3 linked regions of the Lonchura striata genome follow. The protein of the gene in region 1 purifies or fractionates together with the protein of each later gene. This does not show direct contact. Links are inferred from orthologs where the notes say so. Each region holds a gene or a part of one and is shown in the gene's direction. Other genes may lie near its edges.

Region 1 (4,252 bases):
GCCTGAGGTGTGTTTTGCTGGTCCCTTCCCAGTGTGTGCCCCAGCAGGGCAGTGCAGGCAGAGCACCTCCTGCCCCTCTGTGAGGTGGCACCAGGGACAGCTGGCAGGGCTGCTCCCAGCTAGGTGAGCAAATGTGAAATAATGCCATCTTTGCCAAGGAAACATGCTCAGGTTACTTAATTTGCCCAAACCAGCTTTAAATATGCCAGGAATAAAAGGTGTATTTATCAACTTCATGGGGTGGAGAAAACTGACGGGTCACAGTTGCTCTGGTGACATCTCTGTCTTCAACTTGTTTTGCTCTGCATTTGTTCCTTGTGAAAGGACAGAGAAGCTGCCTTGTAAAAAAGTGATTTTCAGGTGCTGTCAGTGTCATACACACTCTGGATCTCCAGGAAATCCATCCTGGCAGCCCAGCATTCCTGCCTCCCCATGTGAGCTCCGTGCTCTCCCTGCTCCATGGCAAGCGCAGTGCTCTCTGTTTGCCTTGATTTCTCCTCTTTCCTGCCAACAAAGCCTGAGCCCTGCCAGGACACACAGCACAGTGCTGCAGAGGGCAGGAGGGAGCATTCCCAGCTTTTGGAGCATCACTCCCCGGATGGGCAGGCTGAGCCCTCTGCTGCAGCCCAGCTCTGCTGCTGGCTCCTCCTCTCACCTCTGGGGCTGAAAGCCTCCCCACACTCCTATTTTCCTTCCTTGGAGCAATCACACTTTGTTGTAGACACGTTGCTGTGGTTACAGATCCTGGAATAGTCAGGATGAACAATTTCTCCATCAGGTAAGTTGGCAACCCTTCACTTGCTTCTCTGCTACAGGACCAGAACAGAGAGCTAAGAGGTGAGTTCAGGTAAGGTGATTCAGCCAGATTTATTCCAGTTGTGCAGCATGGAGAGGAAAGGTAAAAACCTGGCAGCTGGGTAGGAGATGTGGTCCTTATTGATCAGGAGCAGACCTGGGGCTGCAGTTTTGTGTGTGTAAAAGGAGCCACCGTGGCCTGGGATGTGTGCCCTGGGAGGGAGGTGGCTGTCAGCAGTGGCCTCTTCTGATTTACCCACTCTGCCAGCAGCCCTTTCCAAAGGCAGCCTAGCCTGCTCTGTGCACGCCTGCCCCGTGCCAGGGTTAGTGCAGGGGAAAGCTTGGCTTTTCCTGTAAACTCCTGCTCACACTGAAGCCATTTAACACGGATCTGCTGTGGGACAGACCTCCTTGCATCTTTGATGTCTATTTGCTCGCCCCTAACCCGTCTGATGCAGTCCCCCCGCTGCTTTCCCAAGGCAGGGGACAAATTCAGGAGTGGGGCTCCCAGGTTCTGCCCAGTGCCAGCTCTGTGCTGATGGTGGCTGCAATTCCTGGCTCGCAGGGACCCGGCTCCAGTTACATTTGCTGGCGTCAGGCGGGCTCTGCAGACCACTGCAGCTAAAAATAAAAGAATCCAAAGCACAAACCCCGAAGAGAGAGGGATGTTAAAATTCCAGGAAAGCTGTAGGAAAAGCTGGAGAGGCGCAGGAGCAGCCCTGGGGGGACAGCACCAACATTTTGGGGCACTTTAAATTAAGCCTCTGGGTTTGCCTGTTTTTAGCCCTGTCACCCGTGTGACCCTGCGGGGCTCAGCCCCTGGCTCCAGGTATTTGTGCTCACACAAAGGAGGCTTTGGAGCCTTTTGGGAAGCAGAACCATCCCTGGTGTCCCTGCTGGCCCTGAGAGCTCCCAGAAGTCCCAGCCTTGGGATTGCCCTGGATCCAAACCCTCGGATGGTGCTGGGTGTGGGAACACGGCTCTGGTGAGTCCTGAGTGGGCCGAAGGGGGGAACGGGGTTTTCACAGCTTTTGCAGCACCTTTACTTGTCTGGGAGGTTAACAGTGGATCTGTGAATCCAGGCCAAAGGGTCGGGATTAAATACTTACCAAACCTGCTTCCAAAGGCTAAATTAATTAGTCTGCAATCAGATGGAAAAGCCCCAGTGCTATTTCTAAGGGGAGGTTTATGAATTTTGTATGAAGGTTTTGGTGGAAATTTCCACAATTTCTGAGCACAGATCATAATCTAATAATCTTTGAAACTGTCATTTTCTATTTAAATATTAAATAGATACAGAGATTAATGTTTACCAGGTACAAAGTTGTATTTTGAAGTGTGCCTGCCCTTTCCTGGAGCAGCACAGCTCCATTTCAGGTCGGCAGACTGCTTGCCTTTGACCCGTCTGCAAAAACCCTTTCCAGATTTAATCGAAGCCTCTTTGCAGGAGGCTTTATCTCTGCCTCCTTTTTGGGTGCTGTGAAACTAAACCCACCAGGAGTGTGAAAGTGAGGTTAAAAAGCAGCTGTGTGTTTGCATAACAATGGATTATATCCATGCAGTGCAGGGCTCCATCTGCCCCTGGAGCTCCTTGCATGTGGGTCAGAAGTTTCCAAACGATGGCTGAGATTAATGTGTGCAAAGGCCTGGGTTTTCCAAGTGTGCCACAGTTTAATCCTGCCTCTCTCCAGGGTTTTGGGAGTGCTGGGAATCACAGGAGCACAGAATGAGCTAGATCAGGATGAACAGGAGCACAGAATGGAGAAGACCTCTAAGACCATCTGGTTCTGCTGCTCCACAGGGAGAGCTCAGCCTGGCTGTGCTGCTCAGGGGCTGCAAAGCCTGCACTGCTGCAAAGCCTGCACTGCTGCAAAACCTGCACTGCTGCAAAGCCTGCACTGCTGCAGAGGCCCCTGCAGGGCTGAGCAGTGGGGCCAGCACCTTGCCCTGGTGTGCATTTTGGAGATTTGCTTTGGTTCTTCCCCTTAAGAACAGCAGCTCCTTCTGAAGGGAGCTGGAGGTGACTCCTGCCAACTTTGTTTGGGTGTTTGGAGCAGCACAGGGGTTTTTAATGGGATCATGGAATATCTGAGCCAGGAGGGACCCACAGATGATCCAGCCCAACCCCTGGCCCTGCACAGGCACCCCAGATCCCCCTGTGCATCCCTTGGGCAGGGTTATCCCATCACTGGGTGTGCAGTGTGTGATGTGTGTCACGTCCTCAGGCAGCTCCAAACCTGTTCCTGTGTGCCTCGTGCAGCTCCACTCCTTATTCAGGACTTCTCCTCCTGGTCCAAGCTCAGTTTCCCAGAAATCAGCTTAGTTTTTGTTAAAAGAGTTGCCTGATACAGCTCAGGTGTCCCCACATTCATTTTCTAGCAGCAGGTGCTGGGAAGAGCTTCAGTGTGTGCCCAGGGTGCAGTCAGAGCTACCAACATCCTCTGGTTTTGGATTGGAAAACCCCACTATTCCCTGAAAATCTGCAATGCCTACTGACCTCAAGATTAGCCCTGCACTGGTGTATTTTAGGCTCACCTCACTCTCCAGCAGAATTAGAATTAGCCCTCCAAAGACCTGGGCCAGGCTCATTTTACTTCTTCCTGTAGTCATTAATTAAGGTAGCAGCTAATTTTGTATGGGATCTTTTATTTTTGGCTGTATTTTATAGAATGATTGCTGGTGAAAGTTGGATGTGTTGCATCTTGAATATTGCTGAGGCTGGAAAACAGCCAGAACAACCAAGGAGCAGAACTTCCAGGCAGTTTTCCATATCTGCAGTAAAGCTCAAGTCTGCAGCGAAGTTATCTGAGGAATTCAGGCTGTGAACAACAAATGGAAAGGGAATGACACAGATATGAGGTGGGGGGGAAAGTGAGGTATTTTATGATTTTGGACAGCTTCCTGCAGTTATATCACTGCATTGTTATTATTCCTCAGCAAAATCAGAGACGAGAGATTGCACTTGAGCAGCTCCACTCATTCCTGGCAACCTGGGGAAATCCAAGTGAGCTGAGAGAGGTGGATCAGAGGTGATTCCCCACCCGTGCCCATTCATTCCAGAGTGAAATAGCCAAGGACCAGCACGTTGTGGATATTTCCCAGTGTTTTAATGACTTTGTGCTTCCTCTTTGGCACAGTTTGTCAAGTATTCCATGGCTTTTTTAAAGAACAAGGAGACTGAGCTTACTGTGTTCTGAATGTCAGAGCAGATTTCAAGGGGAAAAAAAATCCCTAAAACCCATTGCTCTACAAACAGCAAGACTAAAGCAGTTTCACCACAGATTTATATGGTCTCATCCCTAAAGCACCTCTGCTATAAGTATAACTATATATATTTATATATAAGGATAAATATATATCAATCATTATATAATTATATATATATAATTATAATTATTTTTTAAAATTTATAGAAAAGGATATCTTAACTGTGGTTCTCATTTTAGAGGGTAAGCCC
Region 2 (4,252 bases), on another chromosome or scaffold:
GATAACCCTTAGAAGGTCCAGGCCCCAAAAGTATAAACAACAGTGAATTGAAGAGAGAAAAAGAAGAAGGGTAGGACTTCATAACCCTGAAGCTGGAATTGGACAATTAACTCCAATATGCAAATGGACCAAAACTTATAAAAGTGAGAAGCCTCATGACTGGTCATGCATTTTGTGACAATTTTGGTTCATTTTGGGTGTAGCCCTGGCTGGGCTCTTGCGCTGCCCAAGATGCAGCCATTAAGGCCTTTTACTAAATACCTACTTTATTCTTTAACTCTGTCTAGCCTCTGTTCTGGGTCAGCCTTCACAAGGCATCAGTTCTGGCAACCTAGATGGAACAGAACCCACAATTCCTGGCTTAGGAAGCCAATGCTGTTTGGTGGTGGTAACTGCTGAAAAAAGTCTTGTAAAAAGGAAAATGTTCAGGGAGGGATAGCAGGAGTGAGGGTGCCTGGAAGAGCAGCAGGAGCCGGGGTGTGATGGCAATCTCTGAGATCCGGCATGCTCAGGGAAGGATCAAACACCCCACTGTCTAATCCAGGAACCAGCAGCACTGTGTGACTGGGGGTGGCAGGGCGCAGGGGTCGTGTCCTGGAGATCCCCTGCATCCAAAGCGATCAGCTGGACACAGCAGCCTCTGGAACCACCAGAGACATGGCAGAGGATTTGCCAGGGGCTGGACAGCACGGATCTGCGAACGCTCAGCTGGGGAGAAGCTGAGTGTCCTAAAGAGTTTATGTGGAGTACTGTCAAGTCTCCCTTTTCCTGCTCCTCTGTCCGTGAACCCCATCCTGGTGTTGCAGGGATGTGCAGTGCCTTACTTCCCCAGCCGCTCACCAAACGCCTCACAAAGTGGCTTTTGTTCTCAGGGAGAGCTCATTTGATGAGAAACCATGTGGGAAGGGCTCTTTGTCTCAGCGAGGCGGCGTTATCTGCTGAGTTTGTGCCTTTTTTCCTTCACGTTCCCCATTTTCCCCTCATGCCCAGGCTAAAGGGAGACGGCCGGAAACATGGCGGCAAAGAGGCGCCGCTATGAGACGGGAACTACATTACCCAGCATGCAACGCAGACAGCGATAACGCGGCGCGCCTGCTAGGAATACTGGGAAATGTAGTCCCTCCGCGCTGGCGCGCACTCCCCCCCAACTCCGATTTCCTCGCGTTCCTATTGGTCCAGAGCGACGCCAAGCAACCGCCGTGGGCGGGGCCTGGCCGCGGCGCCGCCGTTCCTACTGGCCGGAGCGCGCGCGGTGGGAGGGGAGGTTTGAAAAAAAACAACCCGCCCCCCGCGGGGCCCCGCGCGCTGATTGGCCGAGCCGCGGTTTGGCGCCAGCTTCAGAGCGGGCGACGGGTACCGGTTGGGGTCAAAACGCCGCGGCGGCCGCGCTGACGGGACGGGGCGGCAGGGCTGCGCTGCATCCCCGGTCCCGCTGCGATGGAGCCCACCCCGAGCGCTCCGCACCGCCGCCGCCGCCTCCTGCTGCTCTCGCCGGCCTCCCCCGCCTCGCCCGCCGTGGTGAAGGCGCTGTTTCAGGATGAGCTCTCGCCTGTCTCGGATCTCCGCCTCACCATGGAGCAGCTGGGGCGCGGGTGAGTCGGGGCGCGGGCCCCACCAGAGCCCGGGCGCCTCCTTTTTCTCCCCTCTGTGGTGACCCCCCCTCTCCCACAGGAAAAAGCGAGGTTTGGAGGGCTCGTCCCGCGCTGCTTCCTGCCGTGCCAAGGGAGCTCCTTCCTGCTCTGCTCCGGGCACTTTGTCCCTCTCCAAAACGCTTTCTTCCCGCTGCCGGGCCTAGGGAGGCTCCCCCTTGTATAAACCCCCCCCCAGGCCTCCAGGAGTCCTTTTCCTCGCCTTCCCTCCACCCCCGTAATTCCCTCCCGCGCTATTGTGAAAAACGCGTATTTTACACTGGGAACCCTTAGGGAATTACACGGATAAAAACCCCAAACCCCTTTGATGGCTTTATGCCCCTCGCAAGCCCCAAAGCCCCAGGCACGTCTTTTAACCCCCCCCTCACCTTCCCCAGCTATTCCCAGCTCTCAGGAACTCCTTCCCTTCCCTGTCCCCCCTCCTTCCCAAGGAAAAGCCTCGGGGTGCTCATCTGCCCTAGCCCCCCAAAAAACAGCCTCGTGGATCCCTCCTTTTCCTTTCCCCCCACCCCCAATGGAGGGTTCTCTTTATTCCCTTTCCCCCCACCCCCAATGGAGGGTTCTCTTTATTCCCTTTCTCCCCGCCCGGCACTGCGGGCTCATCCCGCTTCCTCTCCTTCCAGGCGCCCTCCCCACACCTCCAGCCCCTCTTCCCCCAGCCCTTCCCCCAAAAACGAGGCCTCCCGGGGCTGTTTCTTCTGCCCGCGCCCACCCACGAGGCCTCGGTTTTAACCCTCCCGCTGATCGTGAAAGGGTTTTAAAATCACGGGGATTTAGGGTTAGAAGGAAAATGAAGCTTAGTAGGCCCTGGGAAAATACCCTGGGAACGTGTAGGCCTTGTGCCTTGCTGGAACTGCACCTGTGTAGCTGGTACGTGATAAGTGATATAATTGTTAGATGTGATGATTGTTTAGTAATTAAATATAATTACTGTTTGATCGTAGGAATAATCATGAGAAACTGGTCAGAAGCTTAAGAAAGATCACGAGAAACTCATGGTTGAATAAGGTCAATGTATACAATAGAACAATATAAGTTTAATTAATAATTAATATGTAAGTTCTGTAAGGATAGAATATAAAATACGTTCAGCTCGAAAGCCATGTGGGAGTCAGATTTGGGTCTGTACCCCTGATTCCCAGAGCTCTCAATAGAAGCAGCTGCATAGAGTCATATCCTGTGATTCTGTGTGCTCCTGACCGCTGACACCACCCCACAAACCTCCAGGAGTCCCTTAGGGCCCCCTTTGGCTGCTGCCTCCCATCTGTTCTGCCCTCCTGCCCCCATCCCACACAGATCCATGCTCTGGGACACCTTCCCCCTGCCCAGGTTCTGCTCTGGGCATTCCCCTCCCTCCTGAGCCCTTCCCTGGCTTTCCCTCTCTCCCACAAAAAGCTTTGTGTCCCTTCCATGTCCTCCTGCCTGCCCTGTTCCTGCTCTGTGCTCTGCAGCTGCACCCCTTCCCTAAACCCCAGCTGCTCCCTTTTCCTGCTCTCTTAACTCCTCTAATCCCATTATTCCCACAGTTCCTCCCTTGTGTGGCTCCTGTTTTGTCCTGGCCCACTCAGGTCTCAATGACCCTCCTGGATTTTGTTTGTTGATTTTCTGTTCTCATTTCTGCCACCACCTGCCTTATGGTCCCATCCTTCCTTCAGATTCCTGGGATTCCTGCAAGCCATTGGCAGTGCCCCTCTTGGAATTTATTCAGCCCTTTGATTTTGTAGCCCTGGCTACATTCTTTTTTTAATTAACCACATGCTGGAGCCTCACTCAGGTAGCTTTTCCTTTTTATATGTGGGACTCCATATGATTTTCTTCTCTCTCAGCACTGAGGTTTAGCAGATAAAACAAAATTTGGGAGGTAACTATTTATCAAAATGGGTTTGAATTAGAAATTCAGCAATTTTATCAATGCAAAACCTGAATTAAAGGAGTGTCTGCCAAAGAGGATTGCAGTTCCAGGAAGGATAACTGGGCTTTGATAGAACTCCAGGTGATGCCCACCTGTGCTGTACCTACCTGCAGTGTTGTGTTTCTTGCTTTTAAAGCAAATCCCAAATTTTCCTTTCCAGGCAGCATGAAAATTTGGACCAGGACGTGGGAACCAAAAATGGATTGCACAGATCAGCATCTTCAGAGTCCACAGACTCAGGTGGGGCTGCCTCAATTAATAAATTCTGATTAGGAATTGCAAAGCAATGCACTCCTACATGGCACCCAGGGTTTGGAGAGAGAACTGGCCCTGCCTGCAGCCCCCTCTCTTTCCCATGCCCTTGGAAGGAGGGAGGCAGATGGAAAATCCCCCAGGAAACCTCTGCAGCTCGTGGTTTGGGCTGTAGATTTTTTTGAATTATTATTTTAAATTTTGCTTTAATTGTCCTGGAGGCTGTGAGCAGTAGGGAGTGAAAACAAGTCCTCACTGTGTTTTCTCTCTTTAAACCCAGACTGTGCCAGTGAGTGGCTCTGTCCTGTGTTCTCCTGTTACCCAGGGCACGGGTTGGTGATCTGATCTGAAACCCCTCAGTTCTGGTACTTCCTGGGAGGATTTCCTGTTTTTCACATGAGATGTTTTATCGTTGAAAATGAAATAAGCTCTCACCCCA
Region 3 (4,252 bases), on another chromosome or scaffold:
CAATAGTGAAAACATCTTTGCAATGTCCCAAACATCACATATAGCACAGAAGTCAGGAAATTCATGCTGTAATCCCAGTACCAGGTAACACTAATTTGGCTCTGCCCCAGGCTCCTTTCTCTTTCACTGACTTTCTCCACAGAGTGCCCTGCTCCTGTGGGACTGGAGCCTTGGGAGCAAAGCAGGAATATCCATTAAGTGTCCCTCCTGTGAACAGACATTGTGGGGTAATGTAACAGCCAAACTGAGAGGGAGTTCAGCCCCTGGATTATGGAGAGTGTGGACAGATATAAGCAGCTATATCAGGTATTGCAAAACAAGGTATACATCCTTGGGTTTCTGTTGGGATTATCGGCCATAAACCAGTTGGTTCTCTGTGTGTCAGGTGATGTGACTGGATGCAAAACCGCCCCTGCTCATGGGTCTTGGCTGGGAGTTCTCCTGCCTTCTGCAGGGCTGTTTCATGTAGCCCAGATCTAAACTCCTGCCAACCTGGCCAGGGTTCCAGGGCTGGTGGGACAGTTGCAAGGATGCCCTGAGCTGTGCCAGTGTGTCCCAAAATAGGCTCTCCCACCCAGTGTACAGGAGGCCAACCCAAACCCAGAGTTGTAGTATTTGATTTATTTACAGTTCTGCACTGGATGGCAAATCCACAAAGCCAGCATGACAACTGTCAAAACTTTTGACTGTTTATATATTTTAGCAAACAAAAGGCATTAATGTTCATTGGCTACGAGTTATCTGGTTCTCATATCAATTAGTATTCTATCTTCCAATGCCTAATGATTTTTTTCACTTCCCATACTAATTAGTCCACAGTCTTGTCTCTCTTCTTTTGGGTTGGTGGGTTTCTTGGGTCTGTGTCCATGAATAGGTGGTCATAATCTACTCCTGACAGAACTACCTTTTACCTGCTTGGAGCTGATTCAACCCAATTGCTGAGCCAGCTTTATTAGTTTCTTCCTTATCTTGGAAATTCTGCCTAATGTTCTTGTAGCCCATAAATCCTGCATTCCTTGTACCCACTATCAGTAGTACATCCTTCTTCCCAAGCTTTGTTAACATCCCATTACATCTGAGATCATCGCATCAACATTAAACCCTAACAAGACAATTCTACCAACAAGTAATTCGTCTTTCTAAGCGCTCAGAGCTTATTAGCGGTTGTCTGCTTCGGGGATTAAATCTCCTTTCTTTTTGCTTAGGTTTGAAAGAGATCGAGCATCAGGTAACGTTCTTTCTTAGGGTAACTCGGTGTCCTGCGGCGCCGGTGCGGCCCCGCTCCGGGCCGGCAGCGGGCGCGCTCGGGGCGGCTGGCGGGGCCCGTGCAGACGTGGCCGCGGAAGTGGGTGGCGGGGCCGGGCCGTGCCACGCCGGGCTGGGCTGTGCCGTGCCGAGCCGTGCCGAGCCGCTCCGAACCCAACCGAGCCGCATCCCCCGCGGGCAGCCGCCGACGGAGCCATGTCGCGGGGCAGCGGGAAGGGGATCAGCCTGAAGGATAAGCTGGATGGGAACGAGCTGGACCTGAGCCTCTGCGACCTGAACGAGGTGCCGGTGCGGGAGCTGGTGAGTCTCCGGCCGTACCCCCCCCGGCGGGGCTGGGGACCGCCTGCCGGTCCCCGGGAAGGAGCAGCGTAGGGGAGCTGGATGTGCTGGGGGCTTGTGAGCTGGCCTGCAGGTATTGAAAGCAGCGAGGTTCTGTCCCGCGGGCCCGACAGCCGCTAGTCACTGCTGTCCCGGGATAAGAACCTTTTTGGATACAGAGATGGATCCGGAGATGACGTGGCCTCGGAGCAGCCGCGGGGGATGGACAGACTGACGCGGGAGAAACCGCAGAGGCCGAAGCAGAACAGGTGTCAGAGGGGGTCGGGTGAACCTCCATGTTCATTCAGTGCTTTATTTGTCTTTCAGGCCGCTCTTCCGAAAGCTACTATCTTGGATTTGTCCTGTAACAACCTCATTTCCTTGCCGGTAAGGTGCTAGAGAGCCTCCGTGGGGATGTGTCTGCTGGGAAATATTTGGAAAGATAGCTGGTGCTTCAGGAGAGGCTCACCAGGCACCGTGGAACTGGCATTTTCACTGCCCTGGGGTGGCTGAATGACTCGTTGTCAGTGACGGGTCAGTGCTGGCAGTGATTTGGCTGAGGCAGGAGAGAGTACAGGGTTGAACTGTGTGAAGATTGCAGTACACTCCTTCCAGAGCATCCCCAGGTTAATAGAGAGGACTTTCATCCGCAGTGGAGACTTGGGTTTGTTCCTGTCATATTGTCATCCATAACCTTCTCAGTCTGTCTATCTGTCCTACTGTGTCTCACCTCCATCTTCCAAGGCAAAGGAGGAGAGTAATCTTCCTCCATCACAGTCTTGTAGTAAATCAAGGATGTGTGCCTGATGCAAGGTGCAGGCTGTCTCCACATACTTCCCACTTAGGTTCTTCCATAAAGGCGCTAACCGGCTTTCTCTGGGTTTTCTTTGTTTGGGTTTTAGTCAGACTTCTGCAGTTTGATGCATCTGGTGAAACTGGATTTGAGTAAAAATCGGTTGCAACAGCTGCCCTTGGACTTTGGCCGCCTGGTCAATCTGCAGCACCTGGACCTTCTGAACAACCGCTTGGTCACCCTGCCAGTCAGCTTTGCACAGCTCAAGGTAAAACTGTTTGCTGGGCAGTTACGTAAAGCTTTGGGATGCAGCCCAGGGTCTTGTGATCCTGCTCAAGTTGATTTCTCTGGTAAAGCATCCATCCTGCTGACTACTCATTCCAAAATTCAGCTGGGTCTGCATCACAGCTCAGTGAAAATCCTCTCAGTCTATTGAAAACAACTCTGCTCATTTTCTGTACCTGTTTCATTAATGTGAAAACTAAGCAGTTCTTTGCTTCTGCTTCGGATCTCTTAAATAATTCCAGGACTGCTGTGCTCTTACAGCCTCCCCTTTGTTGTGATTTTTTGCAGAACCTGAAGTGGCTGGATCTGAAGGACAATCCCCTGGATCCTGTCCTGGCTAAAGTGGCAGGAGACTGTCTGGATGAGAAGCAGTGTAAGCAGGCTGCTGTCAAGGTAAGGAGTCTGGTTTTATTGTATTTTTTTTTTTTTTTCCTTTAATGGCTTTGCCAGTGATTCTTTCTCTGCTTAGTGAGCTGGGTATCTGCTGCAGGAGCCCAGCCCAAAGTTTCTTCAGGGAGTGAGGTGCAGGTCCACTGCACTGACTTCCCTATTGCTATGCTTGTGGAGAGCAAACACCCGGCTGAGGAGGATGCTTCTCCATTGGTGGAGTGAAGAGAGGATGAAATACTGGTTCCCAAGAAAATAGAGGCATAATAAGACATAGTAATTCATGCCTGTGCTGATAGCACAAAAAGCTCTGGAGAAGTTCTGGCAAACATAAATAGAAATGTTCTGTGATCCTATGTATCACTGAGCACCAGTTTGCCATGTTTGTTTTTAACAGGAGGATTGGCTTTTTTACAACAGAAACTCACACAAGTTGTGAGTTCTTTCCAGTGCTGTAGCTGTAGGGATAGGGGAGGGTTGGGAGTCAGCCCCAGCTGCTTGTTCTAAGCCATACTCCATCTGTTCTGTTCTGAACTGACTGTGCCACTGGGCTTCTGCACAGCCCTCAGGTTGTTTTCTTGGCTTTTTAAGGTACTGCAGCACATGAAAGCAATCCAGTCCGAGCAAGATCGACAACGGCAGCGGAAACTCCAGGCAGAGAGAGGTAGGGACAAACAGCCCCCACGTGCAGTCTGCTGAGGACTGCTCTTGGTCTAACACATCCAAACATTCTGATCACCATCTAATAAATTGCCATCTAACATATACTTGTAGCCAAAGTAGTCAAAGCACTCAAGGAATAGTAGAGTAAAATGGCTGGAGGGAGAAATATAGCAGGGGAGTAGTGTATGTGATTCCTTGGCCTGAGGAATAGTTAAATCTCTAGATGGAATGTGCTATAGGTTATCTACGAAACTTGAAAGAAAAGCACAGCAAAATGCAAGGTATGTAATACTAAATAAAATTATAAAAAAAGATGATAGTTGTTTAATTGGCTTCCTCATTCCAGTTGGGACAATAAGGTAGTAAGGAAAATGGCAGTGACAACCCTCTTACATAAAAGGGGAAAACTTGCTGTTAACCCCCAGAAATGGAGAAGAAGCGTGAAGCAGAACAGCGAGCAAAGGAGGCTCTGGAGAGAGAACTGCGGAAGCGAGAGAAGGCAGAGGAAAAAGAGCGCAGAAGGCGGGAGTACGATGCTCA

The links.
Region 2: the proteins of RAF1 (region 1) and CDC25A purify together in Homo sapiens (affinity purification with western blotting; 3 studies listed by BioGRID and IntAct, with this or other methods). This does not show direct contact. The link is inferred for Lonchura striata from reciprocal best matches to the Homo sapiens genes RAF1 and CDC25A.
Region 3: the proteins of RAF1 (region 1) and LRRC59 purify together in Homo sapiens (affinity purification with mass spectrometry; 3 studies listed by BioGRID and IntAct, with this or other methods). This does not show direct contact. The link is inferred for Lonchura striata from reciprocal best matches to the Homo sapiens genes RAF1 and LRRC59.

The regions. Positions count from the first base shown.
Region 1 is NC_134614.1:4,709,964-4,714,215, forward strand, and holds the start of RAF1 (RAF proto-oncogene serine/threonine-protein kinase), read left to right. Parts: upstream 1-1,456; 5' UTR 1,457-1,780; intron 1,781-4,252. UniProt on the Homo sapiens protein: Serine/threonine-protein kinase that acts as a regulatory link between the membrane-associated Ras GTPases and the MAPK/ERK cascade, and this critical regulatory link functions as a switch determining cell fate decisions including proliferation, differentiation, apoptosis, survival and oncogenic transformation.
Region 2 is NC_134603.1:156,258,673-156,262,924, forward strand, and holds the start of CDC25A (M-phase inducer phosphatase 1), read left to right. Parts: upstream 1-1,309; 5' UTR 1,310-1,437; coding exon 1,438-1,592; intron 1,593-3,721; coding exon 3,722-3,801; intron 3,802-4,252. UniProt on the Homo sapiens protein: Tyrosine protein phosphatase which functions as a dosage-dependent inducer of mitotic progression. Directly dephosphorylates CDK1 and stimulates its kinase activity. Also dephosphorylates CDK2 in complex with cyclin-E, in vitro.
Region 3 is NC_134621.1:5,720,597-5,724,848, reverse strand, and holds the start of LRRC59 (leucine-rich repeat-containing protein 59), read left to right. Parts: upstream 1-1,336; 5' UTR 1,337-1,461; coding exon 1,462-1,566; intron 1,567-1,911; coding exon 1,912-1,971; intron 1,972-2,486; coding exon 2,487-2,645; intron 2,646-2,950; coding exon 2,951-3,055; intron 3,056-3,640; coding exon 3,641-3,713; intron 3,714-4,137; coding exon 4,138-4,252.